Linked DNA regions of Xenopus tropicalis. The protein of the gene in region 4 interacts with the protein of the main gene of each other region in a pairwise test. Links are inferred from orthologs where the notes say so. Each region holds a gene or a part of one and is shown on either strand. Other genes may lie near its edges.

Region 1 (3,500 bases), on a different chromosome or scaffold from region 4:
GACTTTACCTGTAAATGTATTGATTTAGGGTCTTACCTCAGGATCCAGAAGTTTCTTTTTCTGTGACAGATGAGATGAAGATAGTTGCCGTTTTACAGCACTTCTCCTGGCTTCTGTCTCTGATTTACTCTCTGGTCGGGGATGATCATGGACGCCCTTTGCCTATCATTAAACATAGAGATATGCATAAAAATACATTTAATATAACTGGAAAGATGTTGATCCTGACAATGGTTTCAATAGCGTAACTGATTGCTATTCGCAGTTTGTCTGCTTTATGTAGTAACTATTGGATTAAAGGGTAGTAGTAAAAGTAGTAAACCTTATGTTAAATAGTTTGTTATAGAATGACAAATTCTAAGCTACTTATTGGTCTTCATTTTTTATTTAGCATATTTGAATGATTTGGGGGTTTTTTTTTGTTCTGACACTTTCCAGGTTTTAAAGAGAGGTCATTGACCTCAGCTGCCAAAAAAAGTATTGTTGTCTGAAGCTACAATTTTATTGTTATCAGCACCGCCTCAGGGGTCCTGGCCGCCTGAGGTGGCAAAGTTGGTGCCGCCCCCCTCGCTTCCCCCGCGCGCTGCTTTTTCACATCAGGGCGCTCTCTGCACTAGAAGTTAGCAGGAGTGCTTTTTTGCCTCCCCTGGTAACTTGTCTGATGCTGCCACCTGAGGTGAGTGACTCAACTTGCCTCATGGCAGCAGCGCCCCTGATTGTTATTGTTACTTTTTATTATTTATCCTTATAGTCAGACCCTCTCGTATTCCTATTTCTGTCTATTATTTAAAACACTGTCTGGTATTTTGCATCCTCATCCTAGCAATCAGATAGCTGCTGACATTCCATACTGGAGAGCTGCTGAACAAAAAGAAAAAAAATTAATAAACCACAACTGAAGACTGACTGCAAATGATCTCAAACTATCACTCTCTATATCATACTAATACTTAATTTAAAGATGAACACCCCCTATATAGGAACAGTAACACCAAAGTTTTTAAAAGGTAACGGGCAGCTTGAATTCCTCTGTGCACTGAACCGGAAGTCAGCTTTGCACCAATGACCTAAAAGCATCTAAGCTTTTTTTTTTTTTTTTAGCATCTGCAGCTTAAATATATTATCACATCATTACCCCCATAGCTGTCCAAAGGAATAGAGACATAAATTTAAGCTGCAGACACTGAAAAAAAAACTTAGGTGCTTTAGTTTATCAGTGCGCAGCTGACTTCCAGTTCAGTGCACAGAGGAATTTAAGTTGCAATTGCCTTTTCATCTTTCTCCTATGGTTTACTTTGCAAGTGAAGGTAAAGAGTTAAAAAAAAAAGCAAGGGGAAGTAAGCCTTACCTATCATCATAGCTATTTGGTGGTGGTGGGGGGTGGTGGTAATAAGTTTTAAAAACATTGGTGTTACTGTTCCTTTAATGATGTATTTTTTCCCAGATGATGCCTCCTATTTCAGTACTACAACCTACTCTTTGGAATAACAAAACTTTTGTGTGCTTACAAGCCTGAATAATACACAAAGCTACAAAATGCATGGGCTTCCCACAAAATATCAGCCCCTTCTCTTGTTTTCTTATAGGAAATTAATAAATATAATACCTGGAAGAAGATGGCTTTCCCGTCCAGTCGCCAGAAATTAGTAACAGGATAACCACTGTGGCCTCGGCAAGGGATCAGTTCCAGAGCAGAGTTGCAGTTACTGCACATTTTCTCTTTGAAATAAATTAAGCTCAGTTAAATCATATCATTGAGTGATCTTGCTAATAGTGATAATAATTGCACATTGCAACACATGCAGTAAAATATTGATATGTATTTATTCTCCTTTTAAAATCTAACACTGATAGGTAAGCACAGTTCTGTATACAAAATCTGAAGTGCCTTAAGTTTTTGCCTCACCGCAATTTCAGTGCTTTTATTTTTCTATGTATGCTGCTTGTGAAAGACATAAATGCTCTGTATTAACTATACTGAAATTGTATTTGTTTGCACAATTCAGATTTTAAGAGGAATAAACAATTGCTCCCTTTATCTTTATGTGTCATGTTATCTTTATGTGTTATTTTGTTTAAGTCAGGAATGCCATTGATATGGAGGATTCTCCAAAGTCCATATTTGTCTCACACTGGAAGGTAGATCCACACTAACTAAATTGAGAACCATTCTTTAAGTTGATTATTAGCACGTCAATCAGGCCTGATCAGAGTGACAGTTAATTAAGAGATAGGGCTCTCTAGGTTGGCAACCTAGGAGCCATAAATTTTGACTAATTTGCAGCACCCTGTTACCATATAGCAGATAAAAAATAAGACAGATAAGTAAGAACAACAATAGATCCACACCTGTTCCAAACTGGGACTACTTTAGTTATTATATGATATTGTTTCATTGCTGTAATATTGTTTCATTGCTAGAATATTTTCTTTTGGTGTACAGCAAAACTCCAGGTTTCACTTGACTTTTAACTAAATCAAACAAAAAGCTTAAAGTGCCCATTCTATTTAATTCAGATTTAATGGTTAAATACCAAAAAAAACATTAATGGGACAGAAAATATCATAGGACAGCAAAAGCTATCACAGAGTATCACAGATTTGGCAAGAATGAACTACAAAAACCATATAAAATAGCTATATTTGCCATATTTTAACAGAATTGCCAGATAGTATAGGTATTTTAAAATAAAATCTTTAAATGTTTACCAACTAAAAAAGTAATATATATTATATATATAGAAGATCATTTCTGTGGATATCATTCAATTTAATGGTTAAAACAGACTTAAACACTTAAATATTGTAAGTCTGCAAAAAAACAGGTTCATAAAAGTCAAAAGCAAAAAACTTATCTGATCCATGAACTAATTGATATTGATTAATAAATACTTATTGCTCGTAATACAAAACTTTTATTCAACCTCGCTAATCCCTTATTGTCCTCTCTTTTGATGGTGCGTTCCATGGCTTCTCTCATAGTAAATACACCCTTCTGATACTGATGGTGAAACCTCCTTTATCTGCCCTCTGTGTGCTGTGTGATTTTTTATTACAACAATTTCCAGAAATACTAAAATAATTAAATGGAAATTTGACTAAAATAAATGGATGTAAAAGACAAAAGTTTTCCGCAGCTGAGAAGTGATATGGTCTCTGCCACTTACTTTGTTGTTTCTGACGGGCCTTGTCACATATGGCTGGTCTGAGCAGTAATTTGCCTCCATCTAGCAATGTGCAATTGCGACTGCAAACCACCACTCCCAGGCAAGACTTCTTCAAGATCTGACAGTTGTGATTGTTGGTGTTTCTCATGGCCCAACCACTTAGATGGCGCTGGGCATTCTTGTCCTCTGCATTGTATATAAATCTCACATAACCATCTGTCCATTCCTGAAAGCTGTCAAACTGCTTCAAGTCCTACACAAAAATTGGCATAACATTAGTATATCGAGATTATATGAGCTTATCTATACATGAAAATTTTTTTAAAAAGTGTA
Region 2 (3,500 bases), on a different chromosome or scaffold from region 4:
GAACTCTATGGGTCACATGATAGACATGATGAATTCCCGACAGGACCAGACTCCACATCATCATATGCACTCTCACCCGCATCAGCACCAAAGCCTGCCCCAGCATCATCCGTACCCTCACCAACAGCACCAGCATCCGCCACACCATCCTCACTCTCAACCCCATCACCAACAGGGACACCCTCATCATCACTCTCATTCGCACCTTCATGCGCATCCGTCACACCATCAGACGTCTCCACACCCTCCCCTGCACACAGGGGGACAAGCACAGGTAGGTGACAACTATATATAATCTGATTTTCTTTTTTAAACCTAAGTGTGGATTTAGAAAATAGTTATATATAAAGCACAGCGAATAAATTGAACTCTCTTTTATCACCTGGAAATACAAATACTCCATGGATTTCCAACGTCAAGGTCTTTAAAATCATTGCTCATATTTGGCATTGATGAAATGTATCTTGTAGCAGAGTATCTGAATATTAAATAAACATATTTAGTTCCAAAATATGACTGTAGGATATTAAGCTTGCAACAACATCACAGTACACCATAATGGTTAGCCAACATCTATCTATCTTTTGAGACAGGAGAACCTGCTGCTTCACATTTCAAATATATTTTGCACTGCTGCAATGTGAATCTATAAGGGATATAAGGGATCTTTAGATAAAAAAAATCTCACCCGTTTTTCTTAGCAAGAAGACCACGGGAAACCATTTTTGTAGAACATCATGCCAAAAGTTTAATCTTCTGCGTTGTCATCACTTGTGCATAGCGTGGAACTGTTCATATAATATGCAGAGTGTCACAGACACATAAGCATCCCGCGTACAAAGCATCCTATGTTGAAACTTGAAAATCGTCCAGGAAATAATCATTTTTTCGTTTGAAAAATTCCTTCCGAGGACCTGCCTTAGCTTTTGGGATTATGCATAAAGCAACAGTGTTACGTAGGAAGCCATTTCTAGCACTGTCCTTTCGACAGCCAGCTGGACAGTTCGGCTCTTTCACAAGAATGTGCCAGCCTCATAAAAATTGTTAAGTCTTCTAGGCTTCAGAATTTCTTATGAAGTTCAAATATTCGCTTGACAAACTATAATCCTGCAGGAGACCTCAGAATCAAAAAGGCCAATAAAAACGAATTGTTATTCATTTGCATTGACTTGCTGTTATTATTATTATTATTATTATTATTATTATTATTATTATATGGGTATATGATCTTTTTTTCTTGACACTTGTTATCCAGTGTTGTAGTAAATAAGTTAAGCAAATAATCCTGCTTTTTGATTTGCTTTTTCTCTGGTACAGGTATAGGACCTGTTATCCAGAATGCTCGGGACCAAGGGTATTCTGGATAAAGGGTCTTTCCATAATTTGGATCTTCATACATTAAGTTTATTAAAAAATCAATACAACATTAATTAAACTCAATAGGATTATTTTGCATCCAGTAAGGATTCATTATATCTTAGTTGGGTTCAAATACAAAGCACTGTTTTATTTTCACAGAGAAAGAAGAAATCAATTTTTAAAATTTGAATTATTTGATTAAAATGGAGTCTATGGGTGACAGGCTTTCCGTAATTCAGAGCTTTCTGGATATTGGGTTTCCATATAACGGATCCCATACCTGTATAATAAAACAGTAGGGATCATTTACAAATTGCAGAACAGAGTGCAAAGTGCAAACCAGTGCAACATGCCATATATTTTTTTTTTTTTGCACTTCGCACCCTGCCCTGAGCACCCGTAGGTGCAGGTTTGGAGCACAAAGAGTTAAACTTCCCCAATAACTACAGCACTGCCTGCAGCTGCCCGACCCCCTCATCACTGCTAGTGCTGCACTTTTTTCTTGCTTTGGTTTTTGTAATGAGGCACAATGTTTTTAGCAGCTTGGTGCTGCACATCATAGAAACACTTCATATCTAGAGAACCCAAACCCAAGCATTACTAATATTAGATCCCATAACTGTAGTGTTCTCTAATTGCAATCAACTGTGATATCATGTAAATGAAACTGCCACATCTTCTTAACTGAGCTATAAATATGATGTACATATGACCTTGGTAAATAATGGAAACAATATATTTTGCAGCATTGTGAAGAATACAACAAACCAGTTCCCACAAGCTGACAAATACTTTTATTTCTATCTTGTTTTAACTTCCTTGGGCCCATATATCCATAGGCTGTGTATACTCATTTTACTTCCCAGTCCCATAGGATGTTTTTGTATGATGGGGTAGGGAACAAGCTCATTCCATGTCCTTTCCACGTTAAATCATTTAATATGTGAGGGAATGTGTTGCTTATTTGTTTGCCTGAAAATAAGCAACACTGAACAGTCTCAGTGTTTGTCACAACAGTAAGTGGGTCTGCAATTTGCCAAAATCATGTAGAAGTCAATGGCAGATGTCTCTTCCCTTGCCTGAAAGATTCTTCTTTTGACTCAAAACTTTAGAGGTTTCGGATTTTTGACACAATCTGGAAAATTCAAGTTTTCTGGGCGACAATTTGAAAAAGTCGCAGTTTCCGAGACAGACTTTTTCAGTTCACATTGTTTAGTAAATGTCAGACATTCGTGGAAATGAGTTTAGTTGAATTTTTAAAAATAAAATGAATAGAAATGCTAAGAGTTTTGTTAAGGTTTGTTATTATAGGCTGCAGGCAATATTTGATTGGTCCAATGTAGATTGGTCCATTGTACTGGCCATCAAATGTTGCTGAGCTATAAATTCCAAAAACTCAACAGAGCCTCTAGGAGGTTGCACGATGCCCAGGGGAAACTAGTGAAACTGAATGCCTGATTGTTTACTGTGACTTACTGTATGATGCAAATGCTATAGTAAATGAACCTCTATTAGACTATTTGTAATACACATTTGGCTAATTGTATATTATGTATGTAATATAAATAAATATAGGTAAAGACAAGGAACAGGACAGTGATAATTTGATAGGCAAAGTCCAGTGATGACTATTCTACCTACATGGTTAGTTATTGTGGTCACTGTGGGTGTCTAACAAATAACCCTCGGTATGTTTTTCATTCCTTTTCCTTATGAAGGAAACTGACTTACAAAAATCCACTTTACTGTTGTGGATTCTTAACAAACCATTAGCACAAATAGCTATTTTTGTTTTCCTTACGTTTTTTTTATATATGTAATGACTTTTTTGCTTGCTTTTGGGAGTTTCCTGGCGTAACTATTTTTCATGCTGAACACAAGTCACTTATGCCGTGAGTCACGGGCTGATTGCACTGGTATAAAGACTTTATTCCAGCATGTGCTAGTGATTTGGAATGGCCGGCTGCCAAGCAGCACAATTGAGTTGTTTGCAGCTAGAGAGAAAAATGCTAGGTAAAGCGAGTCCATTAATATTCCCTTTGTATATCTATATAAGATAAAAATCCTATCTGTGCAACATACTTGCTAAACAATTGCTGCAGTTGGGATGCACGTTTATAGATATAACAGCTTCCCTTTGA
Region 3 (4,142 bases), about 31 Mb from region 4:
TGCAGTTGGACAGTACAGGTATTCAGCTATCTGGAAATCTGTTATCCAGAAAACTCCGAACAACGGTAAGGTCATCTCTCATAGGCCCCATTTCCATTTTCTCTGTAATAATAAAACAGTACCTTGTACTTGATCCTAACAAAGACATAATTAATCTTTATTGGAGGCAAAACAACACTGTTGGGTTTATTTAATGTTTAAATTTTGCTTTAGTGAACTTAAGCTATGGAGATCCAAGTTACAGAAAGATCCCTTATCCAGAAAGCTTCAAGTCCCAAGCATTCTGGGTAACAGGTTCCATACTTGTACAGACTTAGCTGCTTATACTAAAAGAATAAGGGTTCTTAAACACTGGCATTTTAGTGTAGGGACCCAAATATCAGTATATCATGTTTAAGGGCCAGGTTATATTAAATTTATGTCAAACAAGTTAGCTACAGGTCATCATGTATGTGTCCTAACAATACTATGCCATAAAAAACATAAAATGTAGTGTTTGGCTAATGTCGCATGGAGCCAGTCAGTCACCTGCAATAGATTTCTGCTACCATGGCTGACTACTGTGCCAAAATGCCTTTCCACTGGCAAGCCAAAGCGATGCGTATAACTTTCCACTGGCGACTCCTAACTCCTATTGTTGCAGGTGGAAAGGCATTTCGGAACAGCTAGTTGCCTGTGGTAGCAAAGATCTATAGTGGGCGACTAACTGCACCATTAGCCTTAAGGTGGCCGTACAGGGGCTGATTAAAGCTGATGACTTGGTTCCTCCCGACCTAGTCGGCAGCTTATTGGCATGTGTAAATTCTAGATAACAATCGGCAGGCTTGAAAACCTCATCAGACAAAAGGTGCATTGGCGTGGCCCTCAGTGTCAAAATGAAGCAATTTCCTACCTGTGATACTGTGCCTGCAGCAGTTGAAATTCATCCTTAATTCTATCACATGAATCTGAGGTTGTGAATTTGAGTTGCTGGGGCAAATGCGAAGAGCCCTAAGGAAAAAAAAATCATAATAGAAATTCCATGTGAAAACATTTGCAGCCTTAATGGAATCCACAGGACACTTGGCTAATTAGTGGTTAAATTAAAGGCATAGTATACCCCTTTAATGATCACCAGTCCATTGAGAAACCTCTGTATAATGAGCTACTCATTTCAGAGTCTAACAGGTTGCATCAAGGGGCAGGGAGGGGTTTATTTATACAAAGGGCTTCTCAGTGGACTAGTAATTTGTTTTGATTGTGTTCCCATGAGTCAGGAGGTAGAATAGGGTAAAAGAAGAGTTCTACAACAACTTTTGTCTTTGTTTGCCACCTCACCCCTTTACACCTAAATGGCTTATGCAATATGTATTATTATGTTAAGCTAAAAATACCTTTGGAAACATTAGCTGCCATATCAGTTAGATATCTGCTGGGCAGGTTTGAAAATATCATAAAATAAGGGCCACTTGGTTGTTTATACGCTCAGTTCCTAATCAACCAAGTATAGGCCCCTATAATGATCTGATCAGCGGCCATAAAGCCAAACAAACCTTGGTGGCCAAATCACAAGATAATTCACTTGTTTGCCGACTTCACCAAATGAGTGGATCTTTCAGTGTATGGAAGGCTTTAAGCACATAATACATGGCTGCAGCAAGCATAGTTATTACTAATAATTAGCTATTTCTGTTAAGTATATGTATCCCATTTCCAAGGGAGAAGGCAGCAACTAGAACACTGCTTGGTCATTATTTTGACAATTGGAGGCTCACTTTTCTGTGGTACAGTACATGATACATGAATATCTCAATTATGCACTGCCAATATGGTGAGGGCCACATTTGTCAGGCACCTCTGGTGATTACCTTGGACCCCAGGCTAATACTGCTCTTCACTAAAAAAAACACAGTGGCCAGGATACTATTTTAGGGTGCACCACCATCTTGCTTCCTTGCTGCTGCTCTGGGTCATGTGCAATACAGCAAAATATTTGGCTTGCAGCTTCAGTCCTGATTTTGCTCTATAGCATGTGCTCATTACCCAGGGCAGAAGTAAGAATTGCATGGACAGAAAGCAAGCTGGCAGCACTCCCTACAATAGTGCCCCAGGGCAGTGCAATTTTAAGCACAAAGGCAACTCCAATGGGGGGGATTGAGGCTAGTAATTATAATTATTGGGGAGGGGATGCCTACCATTGCCCCTTCCAGTAATTTCTTGTCCTTAACATGTATTTATAAAGAGGCAGCACATTGCACAGCAGTGTGTAATACTGGATATCACCTCGAAAATATAACAATGCTACCAGTGCTCTAGACGGCAAAGATGGATTCAACAGAATTCTGAAACTCTACTACAACACTAAGCCCTTTCGGCTCCTGCAACGGCAGGACTTCCTGCAACAAAAAAATCCTACCCCCATATTGCTTTTAGCGTCTCCAGCAGATGAACATGTTCTATACAAATATAACACACAATAATACAGTAGTACATTCAGTTCTACCCCTCGCCTTCTCACCGAGTGCCGGCTGCTGCTTTGAGGAAACATCATATCCCACCCGGCCCCGGTATGTACGGCGCTACGCACAGGCTCAGTATCCAAGGCCCGGCTTCCTGTGCGCTTTATCCAAGGGCTCAGTGCACTTTGGGAAGGCTTCGCTCTGCTTCTCAGCCGGCACTACTGCTTTGGGCCCAGATATGTGATCCGCAAACCCCAGATGATCTTCTGGCCGCTCTGTGTGCTGTCAACCAGGACCTCTACTGTCCCCTTGGCCTCGTCCCTTCTTGATCTCTAACCCGGTAATGCTCCCCCACCCCTGAGGCTACGGCCTGCCCTGCTTCACTACACGATCTCCTAGCTCTCTACCCACTCAGGAGCCTTTTGTTTAATGGCGTCTGTGCTTAAGCAGATATATGGCTCCCTCTACAGGTCACAGTTTCAATGATTCAATTTCCCATGTAAGGATCCCTTGTCCTTTTAGCTGATTTTAAAATTCCTGAAAAAATGAAAGCTTATCAGTTACATTCAATGAACCCTGCTATACAGACCTCAGTGGGAGCATCATTTCGCTAATTTTTAGAGGCTGCCTTATTTTAATCTCCCTTAAGAATATTTTTTGTCTCTGTATATATCTAAGGCTTTTACAACAATCATCTGAACTGAAGTAATTCAATTTTTACCAGTGGTGAAAGTAGATGTTACTAAGCCCTCAACATATTCATTAAAGGGGCACCCAAAATTTCTGGAGAAATTGTTTAGTAATTATGGCCCCACTGGGCCCTCAACATTTCTGGCCTGCTACAAACTCCTGGCTGCACAGATTTTGCTTCCAGACACTCACACATGATGTTCAGTTCTTGGTAATTATGGGGTGCAAAAGATAAGACACTGATGGCCTCGTTTACTAAGGGCCTACAGCACCATGTTGTTCAACCTTCACACCAATGCACTGAGCATTTGCATCTGATCAGTTTATGTTTAGATGAACACGGTTTCCCAATGGCACACTGGTGTAACAATGCAAAATGCTGACAAAAACATGGAGCCTTGCAGAATGACATCTAAGGCTAATGTCCCATGGAGCAAGTTAGTCGCCCGCGATAGATCTCGCTACCGCGGACGACTAAGTGCTCCAAAATGCCTTTCCACTGGCAACTATAGGAGTCGCTGGTGGAAAGGCCTACGCATCGCTTTGGCTTTCCCAATTCGCACAAAGTTTCCTCCTGCAGGCAACTTTGGAAAGCCGAAGCAATGCATAGGCCTTTCCATCGACTCCGATTGTTGCCACTGGAAAGGCATTTCAGAGTGATTAGTTGCCCGCAGTAGCAGAGATCTACAGCGGACAACTAACTTGCTCTTTGGGCCATCAGCCTTAAATGAACCAAATTATTTAACTAAAACAACTGTCTCACTGTAAATGTGATTTTGGGCCACAGTAAAAATCTCAACTTAATCAAGAAAAGTTTAAAGTAATAGGACAGCAAACAATACAGTACTAAATTCCTCTCTGCACCTCAGACTTATTTAGGCATTATTACAATATAGTTCTATATTGGACCATCATTTAGTCAAGAGGAAAAGGCTCAGGTTTTTTGAGAGATGAGAATCAACCAAACTCTAGCTTCCTGAAGCACTCAATTTAATGGTTGCACACAAAAAGTTG
Region 4 (4,028 bases):
TTTGCAACCATTATGGATCTATGCAGCTTAGTTACCATCAAGTAAAAGGTAATATTTTATTATTACAGAAAAAATAATTTTAAAGTATTGGAATTATTTGCTTAAAATGGGCAGTAGGAGAGACGGCCTTCCTGTAATTTGGAACTTTCTGGATATCAGGTTTACAAATTAGAGATCCTGTATATATATATATATATATATATATATATATATATATATATATATAAAACACAAAATAGCCGGTACCGCACTCACAGGTCTTATAGAAAGATATTTATTCAAAAAATCGTGTCTAATGTTTCGGCTGCCATTGCAGCCTTTCTTTTTTGAGAAAGGCTGCAATGGCAGCCGAAACGTTAGACACGATTTTTTGAATAAATATCTTTATATAAGACCTGTGAGTGCGGTACCGGCTATTTTGTGTTTTACTATTTCGTATTGGACTGCACCCAGGCATCCTTGACTCTGTATTGTGAGTGCCTGTTACCAAATTTTGTGATTTTATATATATATATATATATATATATATATTTTGTTTGCATCAAAAACTCTCCACATTATTTTACAAACAACTGAAACATTTATTAATCATTTGCCTTGTTCTACCATGCCACTAACAGTATACCTGAATTCAACTATTCCAAGGACAAAACAATGCTGTTAAGGGAGCCAGTGTCCTTTGCATGTTCCACTTACTGTTCAGAGGAAAATGCAGCTGCTCCTAGAATCCTTTTTTAAAACAGCTGATCTTCATACTAGCATGCAATTTTGTTAAACCTGAAAATTTGACACAAGAAGTGAATATAAAAATACCAATATTGACGAATTTGCAAGAAAATGTGTGATGTGTATGTAAACTATAGGCAACTGTCCTGGGCCTGGACTTGAGAAACACAGAGGAGAACCGCACACTGAATGGTGCATGGTCAAAAAGTACTGGTACTAAAAAGCAAAATTCCCACACTCAAGATGTTTGAATCTTCTACTGAATTGTAAGTTAAATGCCCTGTGGGTTTGTGAATCCCCTACTAGCCTGATTTCCCTTCTTTTTGCATATTCCTGGCACCTGTAACCTAGATACCTGGGTAGAATAGTTTTTCCCTATTGGTTCACGGATGTTATAATTGTTTCCTGTAATGTTTAATATAGTAAGCGGGATCACATGGCTCTTGCCTTTTGGCCTCCACCTGCTGGAATGTCTGCTGGGCTGTCTTGGACAATAAGGCCCTAGTAAAGAAGAGGGACCACATAGGCACATGGGGAAGTATGAAATGTGTTTGTTTCTGTGCACCCCTGCGGTGAAACGCAGAAACAAACGCTAGTAATTACAAGCCCTAAAGGGCATCTCATAGTTGAAATGCAGGAGCTAGTTCACACTTGAGAACTGGTATCCATTATCCTTATTTGTTTGCAGCATGAGAGGTATTGTTTAACAACACTATTTCCTTCCTCTACACAGTAATGCAAGGACCCAACTGTGAGAGAGGGTTATGGCTTTTTAATTTTAATATTACTATTTTGACAAAACAAGGACCATTTTGTACCACCTAAAAAATACACAGCAATGAGAACTGCAACTCATATATTACAACTTCCCGTGTTTTAAGGAAAATCCCAGAAACTCAAGACACCTAGGATTTATTGAACAATTTATGAACACATTTGTTTAAACAACAGATTTACTGTATGCTGCACTCACAAAACAACAGTTGTGCAGATCATGCTTCCAATCAAAAGCTGATGTGATTGACTGTTTAGAACTAAGCAATTGTTCTGATCTACAAACCAGAATAATTAAGTTTGTCGTTTTCTCCCATTAAAAAAATACCAATCTCACATTCACACTATAGAAAGTGGTCCTCCACTGCATGAGCTTGATCACATCAGAATGTCAGCATGAAAGTTAAGGCATGCAATTACATACAATTTTGATGAATGTGAACTCTTTCCATACAAATGAAATCTGACAAGTCACAGGGTAATCATATGCTCATCACTCCTAAAGGATGAATGAGGATGCGACTGACTGACTCCTGAGGTCGGACCTAAATTGCCACACATAGAATCTGTCAAATCCCCAGAAACAAATCTTACTGTGGGACTACAGCCAGGGTTGCTCACTTACTAAAACAACAAGCCCACAAAATGGTACCGCACTACATATATACACACAAACAGTGACTGATAACAAGGTATACATGTGTGTGTATGTAATAATATACAAAATTTAAGCTGCTTTTACTTAGCATTTGTAAACACACAAACATGTATACTGAACTACATTTCTGTTGATCAATATTACAGCTTTTTAAGAAACATTTAAAAAAGCATTTTTATACAACAAACTATAGGAGTTGGAATGATCAGCAGGCATCACAAGTGGATAACACCATGTGCAGACTAGGGATAATGAGTAAAATATTTCGGTTGTATTAGAGCCACCTACCTCTTCTTCTGGAAGGCTGATCTCATCCTGAGAGCCCTCCTTTTCAGCTATGTTGCTGTTCATTGTGGTCTCCTGGGCAGAGGCTTCTGTGAATGTCAGTTTCTACAGTGCAGACTTTTCGCTTTCCTTATACTGGGAAGTGCTGGAGAAAGACTGGAACTTAGTTTCAAGCAGTCAGGTTACTGGTTAGTTTAATGAAAAGCATATCATTTAGATCCAAATATTATAATAAAGCTCTTGTTCTTTCAGAGTTTTGTCTTAAAAGTAAGATGAGGAAGTCTGTGGTTTGTACGAGTGATAAGGAAAGCAAGCGAGGGGGTGAGAGAGGAAAGGGGGATTGCGAGTGACTGTTGGTGATTAGGGTTAGGAGCAGCCTTTGCTTTCTGAAGGGGAAGGGCTTAAAGCAACTTCAGAGCCGGGACTACAAAACTCCCAGTTTGTGGGTGGGGAGCTGCTCTGTTTAGAGAGCAGGGAGGGCTGGTGAGAGAAAAAATCAGTATCGGGTCCAATTTCTTAGTTAAAAAATCAGCCGTGCTTGAAAGCGTCTTCAGAAATTGACGATTTCCAGACAAGGTCAAAGGGTGAAATGCCGAGAGATAGAAAATAGGCAGCGGCAGCAGGGTGAGAGAAAGAGAGAGTGGAGGGGGCGGAAAGAGTGATAAGCACTGTGTTTGGTGCTAGTGGTGAGTAGGATCTATTACAGTGCAAGTATACCTGAATGTTCTGGGTGCCGCCTTACCCTCCTTATATTATTTCAATTTGTAGCGATAGATCTTAACACTTTCCTGTAAGGTTAATTTAGGCAGAGGTTTACACCAAGGTGCGAAGTACACAATGTAGGAACCAGCAAAGATAATGCGCTCTTATGCATTTATTCTTGTTGTTGTTAGGATTCCACAAAAGAGGGAGCTTAGAGCCATGGCAATGAGACCTGGAGATTTGAGCTAAATCTGCTTTATCACAGTTTACTAATCTCTTAAAAATGCTTTCCCACCAGCAGTAATGTAAATCGTAGGTGACTAAACTCCACATGTGCCTCAGCCTTAGGGGTGACTGCACACATAGGAATTAGTCACCCTTGATATATCTGCTCTACCACAGGTGTCTAATCTTCTGGATATTCTTTGTGAGAAAATTACGTTCAACTTTAGAAGAACAAAGCAAAGCGTATGTTTTCCCAGTGGTGATTTACATTATTGCTGGTGGGAAAGCATTTTTTGGAGACTAATTTCCACATGTGCCATCACCATAAGGGCAATAGCCCACAGGAGGATTAGTTGGCCACGGTTAAATCTTGGCTACCGCGGCCAACTAATCTCCCTAAAATTTTGGGAACTAATCCCAGAAATGTGAATTCCCTGCAGGAGGAAACAGCACAACTTCACAAAACAAAGCAATGCATATGTCTTCCCATCGGCAATTTACTTTATTGCTGGTGGCAATCTAACAATAGGTGACTAATCTCCCTATGGGCCTTAGGATACTGGGAGACAAGGAGATTTATCACCTGCGGCAAATCTAGGCTACCTCAGGAAGCAGATCTCCTAGAAATACTTGTACCTTCATTAACATTCTGAGCGCG
Region 5 (3,960 bases), on a different chromosome or scaffold from region 4:
ACAGTGTAGGTGAATTTTATTTTGCTTGACAAACACAATAGAAAACAATTTGCAAGTATTTCTTAGGGTGACAGGTCCCCTTTAATGTCCTTTGTATTTAGACTTTTGCAGTTCTACCATTAATATACAGAAAACATTTATTAAATTAGATTTTAATATTTTCCACACATAACTGCAATAATGAAAAACATAAGTTTTGCTATAGTATTACTTGCCATATCATTGTTTAAGGATCCCTCCATTGCTCTGTGGCAACAGGTGTATGCTGGGATGGCCAGTTGCTAAGAAATGTCAAGAAGCTTTAAACCACAAATACCTGACTATACCATACCTAACTAATAAGTAACACTAAACAGAACCAGTCTGTTGCTGCAGACACTAATTCTGTGTGTGTGTGTTTCAAAAGGAATCAACTTTCATAATTATGTGGACAATGAAAAATTGAGCTTTTCTTTATTGCTTTTAAATTATTTCACTTGTCTGCTTTCCTGGAGTTTTTCAGTCATTTCTAATTATACCATGCCTAAAAGTTAATCAAAATAATTAACATCTGCATATTAACATACAGTTTAGTCGTTTCAAATTGAAACAGAAATCACAAATCTCTAGATCTCCAAGTAAGCCAAAGGCTAAGAGATTATGTTTTCACAAAAATGAGTTAAGCAGCTTTCCAGGATGCACCGTTCAAACAGGTAAACATTAAATACTGGAAAGTAAATAATAAAACGTAATACATCTTCTGACACATTACAAAGGTGTATTCCTTTTCCCAATTTCAGATCTATTATGAATAAGCATGTGCCTTTAAAATTAAAGTAAAGGCACAGGCAGAATAACCTGATTGGTAAATTATTTACTTGTAATGCCTTCTGGAACTGGCCCAAACACATATACTTTTGTCTTTTTTTTTTGCACATGTTTACAATGGGTCAATAGCTGGTGAAAACACCTAATACTATCAGAAAGGGAACGATAAAGCTTTCTATGTTTTGGCTTACATTAAATTGCACCTCTCCCCTCAAACTGTGGCACAGCCCAAATCAACTGGGTTAGAATATGTCCAATAAATCTGGTTCAATTGTATTTTCAGGATCATCATTCTTCAGTTCTAACACATTTTAGCATGTACTAATCACCAGCTGAATTTAGGATTTTATGATGGGTGCTTGTCAGGCAGCAGGTGTCAGCAGTACCCACTGAATATGATGGATTAATGGATGCTACCAAAAATGGTATTTATTTATAGGGAAGGATAGTAAAGCATAATTCTCAGCACAGTTCCATGACAAATATAACAAATCCTATGCAATCAATTTTGCAAGAAATTTTACTTGGAATGTTTTACCAGTGGATAAATATGCCATGTATCCCAGGACTTTTCCAACTTGCAGCTACACAATTACAACACATATCCCCCACCAGCAGTAGCAGCAGACTTCCCTGATGCACACTTCAGGACAGAAACTGAATGTTCATACAATCAATCAGGAAAAGCCAGACTGACATGTCTGACTGGTAAAACACTTTCTATGAGACATTTCTATTACTGAAATTTACAGAATATGAATGAATATTATGGGAACTAAATGTAGATCTATAAACATGTGGTATCAAGAACTTTATAGCTCTTAACCTGCACAAACATTACTCAAGTTTTGTAGTAAACACTTGGAGAAAGCTAATAGGAGGTGAATTCCCGTAGATCTACAAGTGCCCTATTACAAATAATTCCCTCTTCCTGTAACACTTGCAGTATGCACACAAATTATTTCATAAATGAACAGAGAAATGGAAGCTACCTCACAAAGTAAATAACTTGATTACCAGTATACAACCTCCTCTCTTCATTTTGTCCCTTGTTATGACTATTTATAATGAGTTCATTATAGAGGGGGATTATCTGTGTACTGGCTATCTAATTGTCACAAAAATACCATGGAGGAGCTTAGTTGAAGAAATAGCACACATAGAACTTTTATGATTAAAACAATAAGTAAAAAAGAACTGTTCAGTCCTGTTAAGCATTGAACAAGCGGGCATACTTCACCTTTAAAAAGGCAAAATGAAACATAGAAAAAGGATTATGTCTTAATAAGATAAAGCCAAGTCAATGAAACTATGTAAACTGTCATTATTGATGATCGTTAATAAAAAAGAAGTTACAAAAAAAAAAAAAAAAAGATAAAGCCAAGTCAAAATATAGAAGGTTCTTGACTAACTTTATGCTGGCAACCCTAGGCCTTTAAGACTGAGATTTCACACAATCTTATATCATCAAGTTGTGTTGATCTCTGGACTTATGATGTGGCAACTGAATGTCGGCTGAGGTCATGGTGAGCAAGGAACAGAAAACCAGAGACCCACATAAACGTGTTGCTTCTCACCTTTCTGCCATGTGACAGCAACAATGAATTAGATGTCAGGGGTGAAGGTTTTCTAACCACAAGCGGATCTTACATTAACACAGACTCTAACTCTCTGGGCAAGTTGGTTTAAGATGCCCATGATTATATATATAATATACACACACCTGTATACATCCTTACCAGGAATGTTCAACCTGCGCCACTTTAACTATTAAAAAATGAACATGAAGCTCTGACAGAGTAATACTGCCAGTGGAATACTAAGCGAAAGTTATGAGCAATTATATGATTATTAAACAAAACACGTCTACAGAATCAGTATTAATATTTTGGCTCCACCACCAGCCGGCACAGCGTGAGCCACACCCCGGGGCCCAGCTCACAATGCCGATGTTATCACATTCATTTCCAGGTTTGACTTTTACCTGACGCTGCTGTTCGCTCCCCCGTAGATATACCGGGCTGGTTACCGACCGCCGTAAGATTAAATGCCAAGGAGACAGGGTGAGGGCGGCAGTACTAATACCACTTCTCCTCCTTCTGTCTGCCAGCACCGCAACGTCAGGCGCTCGGAGCAACCAATCAGACGCAGTATAATCACTCCAAGTCTACGCGTTCAGCGCACAATCTGTACGTGGCAAAGGAGGAAGCGAAGCGAGCATGCGCATTACAGCTTTGTGGCACAGCTTAGCATAGGACGGTGCTTTCGGGAAACTGTGTTTCTTTTTTCAATCAACTTTATTAGTGCTATGTTTTTCAGTAAACTTTATTACTGTCAAAAATTAAAGACAAGCAACCGCGGGTTATCTGTAGTTTTGCGGCAGGCTGGTCTCTAGGTGAGAGCCGTCCGTTTCTGAAAACCAGACACCAAGAAATAAGCCCCTTCTGATCCACTGCACAAAGAGTTTCCAAGGCCAAGGTACAGAATCAGCACACAAAGTAACCATCTCTGCTTAGTGAGTGAGTTTCACATTTGCCTGTTGTGTTTCCTGATGTGACATTATACATTGCCGACATTTATGTACAGGAGTGTGGATAATGCTTGGTTTGTACCTGGATACTTTTTAACTAGTTTTGAATAGGCGTCACGGTGAAAAGTGCCCTCTGTGTATATCTGTGCCAGTAGGCACTTGCTTAAAGGATGGTCAGGAAGATGGATGCAGTTTAGTGTCTCAAGTTTGTATCTCAGTATTTACTTTTCATCATATTTTGTACTTGGAAATAGTAACATAGTAAGTTGGGATGAAAAAAACGACTTCTGTCCATCACGTTCAACCATAATGCCTGTATATAACCTGCCTAACTGCTAGTTGATCCAGAGGAAGGCAAAAAACCCCATCTGAAGCCTCTCTAATTTGCCGCAGAGGGGAAAAAATTCCTTCCTGACTCCCGGATATTTAAAACGAACTGTTAATGTTATAATGTTTTATCAATGCATGATTATATAATACCAGCATATTCCCCAGTGCATTATATAGCAGTCCCTGCCCTAGCAGATCTTACAGTCTAAGGTCCCTATAAGATTTATGCATTGTAGGGTCCGAATTATCAGAAGCCACTTAACCAGAGAGCCCAGAGGAAACCCACTCTGACC
Region 6 (3,500 bases), on a different chromosome or scaffold from region 4:
ATTTAATAACCCATAACCTTCGCGAACCCGAAAAAGCCCCAGTGGGGACTTTTCAGAGATTTATTATAAGACCATTCCGTCAGAATTCTGAATCTGAAAACTCTCCATCTAAAACCTGTCAAAGTCATGTAGAAGTCAATGGCAATTGTTCCTTTTTGCTAGTGGAAGATCTTTCTTTGCTTCGTGGTCTTTGAGGGTTTTGGGTATTTTGAAGCTGGTTTGTGCGTCAAGTAAAAAAAGTTGCGCTTACCGTTGTCGAAAAAATTGAGCTTTTCGTGACTTTTCGACAACTTTTTACAGCACGTGCTTTTTTAACTTCTGATTTTTTGATAAATAACTGACTGGTTTTAATAAATAGTGACTTTTAATGGCATCATACAGCAGCCCCCTGGCTTTTGCCAGGAGCCAGAGATTGCCAAGCCAGGCTTAGGTCTTACCTAGGGTAACACTGACCATACTGGCATGCCTCAGTAACTCATTGGGTATTGGATAACTATTAATATAAGTTATAATGGGCTTTCCCCACATCCTGGTAAGTTCTGCCTACTTACTTATTCAACTTAACTGTTCAAATTGAATTATGACACCTTAGTTGTTGTACCCAGTCTTCAAAAGGCATTCCATAATAAAGAAGAACAAAAGCCTTGTTAAAACCATAGACCCACTCCAGAAGCCATCAACCCCCTCAAGAACTGCACCATTGGGGACCCCTTATACAACACAGATCGTGTACTTGTCCTTATAAAGAAGAGTAGTGCAGTATCATGCTTTATGTCCCCTTCTCTGCTATAGCCAACCAGAAGTTTGCACAGGTGAAGCCAGGTCTGGGTTGGCTTCAGCTATGCATGCTCCTGGAATAAGACTGCTCGGAAAGGGATATCAAGCCCCAACCCTACTGTGGTACATGTACATGGAAGTAAGAGGGTGTGCAGTTGGGCAATTCTACTGGGGTTTGAGAGGCCTCCAAGGTTTTGTTCTTCTGTAAACCTGCCAGTCATAATAGTACTGAGGCTGCTAGACCATCATCAAAAAAGAGAAGATCTGAACCCAACTGAGCAGTGTGGTACCTAGGGTTGCCACCCGCCTCTCCTGTTTCCAAATTAGGAATTCCAGAAAGGTCTTTGCAGCTAATCAGCCAGTCACCACATCATAGTGACTGAGCGCTGGTTGTGTATTGAGCAGGCTTTGTTTTAAGCTTGCACACAGACCAGTAGACATATAATTCATTCATGAGTGGTCCAGCCATCAACTCATATGTCCCTAGGTATTGCCGTTTTAAGTACTAAAGGACATCCCCTGAAATAGCCCAGGTAAATTCAACTGGTTGGTAACTTGAAGGCTGGGGTCACCTTAGGTGGCCATACACGGGCCGATTCTAGCTACCGATAATTTGGCAGCTTATCTGCCCATTTATGGGCACGAACGATGGGCCTGTCCGTCCGACATCTGGCCTGAAATCGGCAGATCTCAATTGGGCAGGTTTGATTTTTCCTTCTGATTGGTGACCACATCAGCTCGTTAATACCGATGGTGTCTACACCTGTCTTTCTAATTCAATCATTTGGCCCCAGGGTCAAATGACTGAATTAGTCTGATATCGCCCAACTGTAGGTGGGGATATCGGCAAATGAATGCCAAATGAGCGGATCTTACCGTGTATGGTCACCTTTAGTCAAGTTGATAAAACATAGGATTATGGGTAGAGAAAAGCAAAACATTATGGGAAGAGAAAAAGCAAAGCATTATGGAAAGAGGAAAAAGTGAAGGATCATGGGAAAAGTGAGTACAAGTGGTTCTAACTTACCATTAGCTACAAACCAATGCACTAACCTCTCCTTGTTCTGTCCTCCAGCTTTCTTCCTACCCATAGGATTATGGGTAGAGAAAAGGAAAACATTATGGGAAGAGAAACAGCAAAGCATTATGGGAAGAGAAAAAGTGAAGGATCATGGGAAGAGCGAGTACAAGTGGTTCTAACTTACCATTAGCTACAAACCAATGCACTAACCTCTCCTTGTTCTGTCCTCCAGCTTTCTTCTGGGTCTTCACAGTATTGATGGGTGGTGAATGGCACAAAGATGAGGATGTAAAAGTATTTTTACCCAGGATAACCTCTTCTGGTTTTCTCAGCCGCGCTTCCTGTGGCGCCCAACCCAGGCTAGTAAGATTGAATCCTGAAGCAAAACACACAGATTGCGATCAGCTTGCCAAGGACAAACTTGTCCAGGGTGGATCAAAGATCTGACATGTTCTGGGTGTGTATCCTACCTACCACTTGACAGACTTTAGTCTCTTACCGGAGGGCGTATTATCTTCTACTTACTTTGATTTAGAAAAAAAGGAGGGAGAGATTGTGCCTATAGTATCAATGGTGATAATAGCCTCTGGGAAGGGACTGTGGCTTGTGATACAGCAGGTATAGTAGGGAGAGATGGTGCCTATAGTAGCAGTGGGGGGGATAATAGCCTCTTGGAAGGGACTGTGGCTGTGGGATAGCAGGTATAGTAGGGAGAGATGGTGCCTATAGTAGCAGTGGGGGGATAATAGCCTCTGGGAAGGGACTGTGGCTTGTGATACAGCAGGTATAGTAGGGAGAGATGGTGCCTATAGTAGCAGTGGGATAATAGCCTCTGGGAAGGGACTGTGGCTTGTGATACAGCAGGTATAGTAGGGAGAGATGGTGCCTATAGTAGCAGTGGGATAATAGGAAATGGACTGGGGCTGTGGGATAGCAGGTATAGTAGGGAGAGATGGTGCCTATAGTAACAGTGGGGGGATAATAGCCTCTGGGAAGGGACTGTGGCTGTGGGATAGCAGGTATAGTAGGGAGAGATGGTGCCTATAGTAGCAGTGGGATAATAGCCTCTGGGAAGGGACTGTGGCTGTGGGATAGCAGGTATAGTAGGGAGAGATGGTGCCTATAGTAGCAGTAGGATAATAGCCTCTGGGAAGGGACTGTGGCTGTGGGATAGCAGGTATAGTAGGGAGAGATGGTGCCTATAGTAGCAGTGGGGGGATAATAGCCTCTGGGAAGGGACTGGGGCTGTGGGATAGCAGGTATAGTAGGGAGAGATGGTGCCTATAGTAGCAGTGGGGGGATAATAGCCTCTGGGAAGGGACTGGGGCTGTGGGATAGCAGGTATAGTAGGGAGAGATGGTGCCTATAGTAGCAGTAGGGGGATAATAGCCTCTGGGAAGGGACTGTGGCTGTGGGATAGCAGGTATAGTAGGGAGAGATTGTGCCTATAGTAGCAGTGGGATAATAGCCTCTGGGAAGATACTGTGGCTGTGGGATAGCAGGTATAGTAGGGAGAGATGGTGCCTATAGTAGCAGTGGGGGGGATAATAGCCTCTGGGAAGGGACTGTGGCTGTGGGATAGCAGGTATAGTAGGGAGAGATTGGACTGTGGTGCATTTCTGACCTGCCTTTTCAATCGTGTTAAATTACCCCCAAATAATATTTCCAAGTAAAATACAAATTTATTATGGTATGGGTATAG
Region 7 (3,500 bases), on a different chromosome or scaffold from region 4:
CTGCAGTGGGCGGCGCGTGGGGGTGAGTGACGCACGATGTGTCGCTGTGTTAATTACAGGGTCCTTTGTGTCACAGCTTTCTAAGTAAGGATTAATAGGCCAGGCGGGTGAGGGGGACTTCCGGAGCAATATATAGCTCAGTTTGTATCCTCATTATACTGGGGATAAAAAGCCCCATTCTTACCCTCCCTCTGTATATACAGGGGATAGATAGCCGGGCCTCCCCTCTCTCTGTATATACAGGGGATAGATAGCCGGGCCTCCCCTCTCTCTGTATATACAGGGGATAGATAGCCGGGCCTCCCCTCTCTCTGTATATACAGGGGATAGATAGCCGGGCCTCCCCTCTCTCTGTATATACAGGGGATAGATAGCCGGGCCTCCCCTCTCTCTGTATATACAGGGGATAGATAGCCGGGCCTCCCCTCTCTCTGTATATACAGGGGATAGATAGCCGGGGCCTCCCCTCTCTCTGTATATACGGGGATAGATAGCCGGGCCTCCCCTCTCTCTGTATATACGGGGGATAGATAGCCGGGCCTCCCCTCTCTCTGTATATACAGGGGATAGATAGCCGGGCCTCCCCTCTCTCTGTATATACAGGGATAGATAGCCGGGCCTCCCCTCTCTCTGTATATACGGGGGATAGATAAGCCGGGCCTCCCCTCTCTCTGTATATACAGGGGATAGATAGCCGGGCCTCCCCTCTCTCTGTATATACAGGGGATAGATAGCCGGGCCCTCCCCTCTCTCTGTATATACAGGGGATAGATAGCCGGGCCTCCCCTCTCTCTGTATATACAGGGGATAGATAGCCGGGCCTCCCCTCTCTCTGTATATACAGGGGATAGATAGCCGGGCCTCCCCTCTCTCTGTATATACAGGGGATAGATAGCCGGGCATCCCCTCTCTCTGTATATACAGGGGATAGATAGCCGGGCCTCCCCTCTCTCTGTATATACGGGGGATAGATAGCCGGGCCTCCCCTCTCTCTGTATATACGGGGGATAGATAGCCGGGCCTCCCCTCTCTCTGTATATACGGGGGATAGATAGCCGGGCCTCCCCTCTCTCTGTATATACGGGGGATAGATAGCCGGGCCCCCCCTCTCTCTGTATATACAGGGGATAGATAGCCGGGCCTCCCCTCTCTCTGTCTATAAATGAATGATTTTTCTATGCTCTCCCCACCCTCACAATACCCACCTGATCCGACAGAAGACAGATTTCTCTTGCGTGTAGTCCATTGATGCAGTATCTGCAGGAAAAAGACAAAAATGACCCCAATCAGACAGATTGTACAGATCCTACTCTGTCACCCTACTGTGGGAAGGTTTTTATCACTACCACCCTGTGAGGGTTGGGGCCTATCCACACCCCCTACTGTACATATCAATGCAGGCAAAGTGAATTCAGGGGTACAATTATCTGCCCCTTCCTTACCCCCAGAGGTGCAGCTGCTCCAGGAAGGGAGATGATATGGGGCTGTAGATCCATAGAAGACACTGACATCCTGTGGAGCAAGAAACTCAGCGAATGTGGCCCCCTTGAACACCTCCTTTTTGCAATGCAGGATGAGAGAAGCCTGGTCTGAGATGTACACAATTCGACCACTGATGAATGAGACTGCCACAGAGAATGTATCCTGGGATAACGAGAGAGAGCAGGAAATTCATTCTCACCCCAAATCCCCCCCTAACTGGCCTTCAGGCTGGGCCCCCTTAGCCCATAACAAGGTTACAGATATATAGAAACATTGGGGTAACAGTCACCCCGCTATAGTTCCAGGGGTACCCAGGGCACAAATAAGCACTCACCCCAAATCCCCCCCTAACTGGCCTTCAGGCTGGGCCCCCTTAGCCCATAACAAGGTTACAGATATATAGAAACATTGGGGTAACAGTCACCCTGCTATAGTTCCAGGGGTACCCAGGGCACAAATAAGCACTCACCCCAAATCCCCCCCTAACTGGCCTTCAGGCTGGGCCCCCTTAGCCCATAACAAGGTTACAGATATATAGAAACGTTGGGGTAACAGTCACCCTGCTATAGTTCCAGGGGTACCCAGGGCACAAATAAGCACTCACCCCAAATCCCCCCCTAACTGGCCTTCAGGCTGGGCCCCCTTAGCCTATAACAAGGTTACAGATATATAGAAACATTGGGGTAACAGTCACCCCGCTATAGTTCCAGGGGTACCCAGGGCACAAATAAGCACTCACCCAAATCCCCCCCTAACTGGCCTTCAGGCTGGGCCCCCTTAGCCCATAACAAGGTTACAGATATATAGAAACATTGGGGTAACAGTCACCCTGCTATAGTTCCAGGGGTACCCAGGCACAAATAAGCACTCACCCCAAATCCCCCCCCTAACTGGCCTTCAGGCTGGGCCCCCTTAGCCTATAACAAGGTTACAGATATATAGAAACATTGGGGTAACAGTCACCCCGCTATAGTTCCAGGGGTACCCAGGGCACAAATGAGCACTCACCCCAAATCCCCCCTAACTGGCCTTCAGGCTGGGTCCCCATAGCCCATAACAAGGTTACAGATATATAGAAACATTAGGGTAACAGTCACCCCGCTATAGTTCCAGGGGTACCCAGGGCACAAATAAGCACTCACCCCAAATCCCCCCCTAACTGGCCTTCAGGCTGGGCCCCCTTAGCCCATAACAAGGTTACAGATATATAGAAACATTGGGGTAACAGGCACCCTGCTATAGTTCCAGGGGTACCCAGGGCACAAATAAGCACTCACCCCAAATCCCCCCCTAACTGGCCTTCAGGCTGGGCCCCCTTAGCCCATAACAAGGTTACAGATATATAGAAACATTGGGGTAACAGTCACCCCGCTATAGTTCCAGGGGTACCCAGGGCACAAATGAGCACTCACCCCAAATCCCCCCTAACTGGCCTTCAGGCTGGGTCCCCATAGCCCATAACAAGGTTACAGATATATAGAAACATTAGGGTAACAGTCACCCCGCTATAGTTCCAGGGGTACCCAGGGCACAAATAAGCACTCACCCCAAATCCCCCCCTAACTGGCCTTCAGGCTGGGCCCCCTTAGCCCATAACAAGGTTACAGATATATAGAAACATTGGGGTAACAGGCACCCTGCTATAGTTCCAGGGGTACCCAGGGCACAAATAAGCACTCACCCCAAATCCCCCCCTAACTGGCCTTCAGGCTGGGTCCCCTTAGCCCATAACAAGGTTACAGATATATAGAAACATTGGGGTAACAGTCACCCCGCTATAGTTCCAGGGGTACCCAGGGCACCTAACTGGCATTATAACTAACCAATCCCATAGGCCTGGGAAGATATCTCTCCAATATTAATGCTACATATTTCACATTACTGCTTTCTGGCAAGGACACAAAGAGACCCCAGTGGGTGTGCAACACTTACGGGATTTTTTAGGGTATACTCCGAGGTCACGCTCTCCACCTCCTCGATGGTGTAACTGGACATGTCCAGGCAACATGGCTGGGAGT

The links.
Region 1: the proteins of rbpms (region 4) and gcm2 interact in binary tests that used the Homo sapiens proteins (3 or more experiments, as listed by UniProt). The link is inferred for Xenopus tropicalis from reciprocal best matches to the Homo sapiens genes RBPMS and GCM2.
Region 2: the proteins of rbpms (region 4) and creb5 interact in binary tests that used the Homo sapiens proteins (3 or more experiments, as listed by UniProt). The two-hybrid records come from large-scale screens. The link is inferred for Xenopus tropicalis from reciprocal best matches to the Homo sapiens genes RBPMS and CREB5.
Region 3: the proteins of rbpms (region 4) and tle5 interact in binary tests that used the Homo sapiens proteins (3 or more experiments, as listed by UniProt). The two-hybrid records come from large-scale screens. The link is inferred for Xenopus tropicalis from reciprocal best matches to the Homo sapiens genes RBPMS and TLE5.
Region 5: the proteins of rbpms (region 4) and tfg interact in binary tests that used the Homo sapiens proteins (3 or more experiments, as listed by UniProt). The two-hybrid records come from large-scale screens. The link is inferred for Xenopus tropicalis from reciprocal best matches to the Homo sapiens genes RBPMS and TFG.
Region 6: the proteins of rbpms (region 4) and foxp3 interact in binary tests that used the Homo sapiens proteins (3 or more experiments, as listed by UniProt). The link is inferred for Xenopus tropicalis from reciprocal best matches to the Homo sapiens genes RBPMS and FOXP3.
Region 7: the proteins of rbpms (region 4) and per1 interact in a two-hybrid assay, tested with the Homo sapiens proteins (2 studies listed by BioGRID). The link is inferred for Xenopus tropicalis from reciprocal best matches to the Homo sapiens genes RBPMS and PER1.

The regions. Positions count from the first base shown.
Region 1 is NC_030682.2:90,621,082-90,624,581, forward strand, and holds part of gcm2 (chorion-specific transcription factor GCMb), read right to left. Parts: intron 3,421-3,500; coding exon 3,168-3,420; intron 1,720-3,167; coding exon 1,607-1,719; intron 163-1,606; coding exon 37-162; intron 1-36. UniProt on the Homo sapiens protein: Transcription factor that binds specific sequences on gene promoters and activate their transcription. Through the regulation of gene transcription, may play a role in parathyroid gland development.
Region 2 is NC_030682.2:43,114,400-43,117,899, forward strand, and holds part of creb5 (cyclic AMP-responsive element-binding protein 5), read left to right. Parts: coding exon 1-274; intron 275-3,500. UniProt on the Homo sapiens protein: Binds to the cAMP response element and activates transcription.
Region 3 is NC_030677.2:114,622,611-114,626,752, forward strand, and holds the start of tle5 (amino-terminal enhancer of split), read right to left. Parts: upstream 2,801-4,142; 5' UTR 2,531-2,800; coding exon 2,498-2,530; intron 991-2,497; coding exon 893-990; intron 1-892. UniProt on the Homo sapiens protein: Transcriptional corepressor. Acts as a dominant repressor towards other family members. Inhibits NF-kappa-B-regulated gene expression. May be required for the initiation and maintenance of the differentiated state.
Region 4 is NC_030677.2:83,961,183-83,965,210, forward strand, and holds the start of rbpms (RNA-binding protein with multiple splicing), read right to left. Parts: upstream 2,801-4,028; 5' UTR 2,510-2,800; coding exon 2,447-2,509; intron 1-2,446.
Region 5 is NC_030678.2:105,590,825-105,594,784, forward strand, and holds the start of tfg (protein TFG), read right to left. Parts: upstream 2,801-3,960; 5' UTR 2,792-2,800; intron 1-2,791. UniProt on the Homo sapiens protein: Plays a role in the normal dynamic function of the endoplasmic reticulum (ER) and its associated microtubules. Required for secretory cargo traffic from the endoplasmic reticulum to the Golgi apparatus.
Region 6 is NC_030684.2:25,953,114-25,956,613, forward strand, and holds part of foxp3 (forkhead box protein P3), read right to left. Parts: intron 2,175-3,500; coding exon 2,009-2,174; intron 1-2,008. UniProt on the Homo sapiens protein: Transcriptional regulator which is crucial for the development and inhibitory function of regulatory T-cells (Treg).
Region 7 is NC_030679.2:144,443,499-144,446,998, reverse strand, and holds part of per1 (period circadian protein homolog 1), read right to left. Parts: coding exon 3,415-3,500; intron 1,645-3,414; coding exon 1,443-1,644; intron 1,258-1,442; coding exon 1,206-1,257; intron 1-1,205. UniProt on the Homo sapiens protein: Transcriptional repressor which forms a core component of the circadian clock.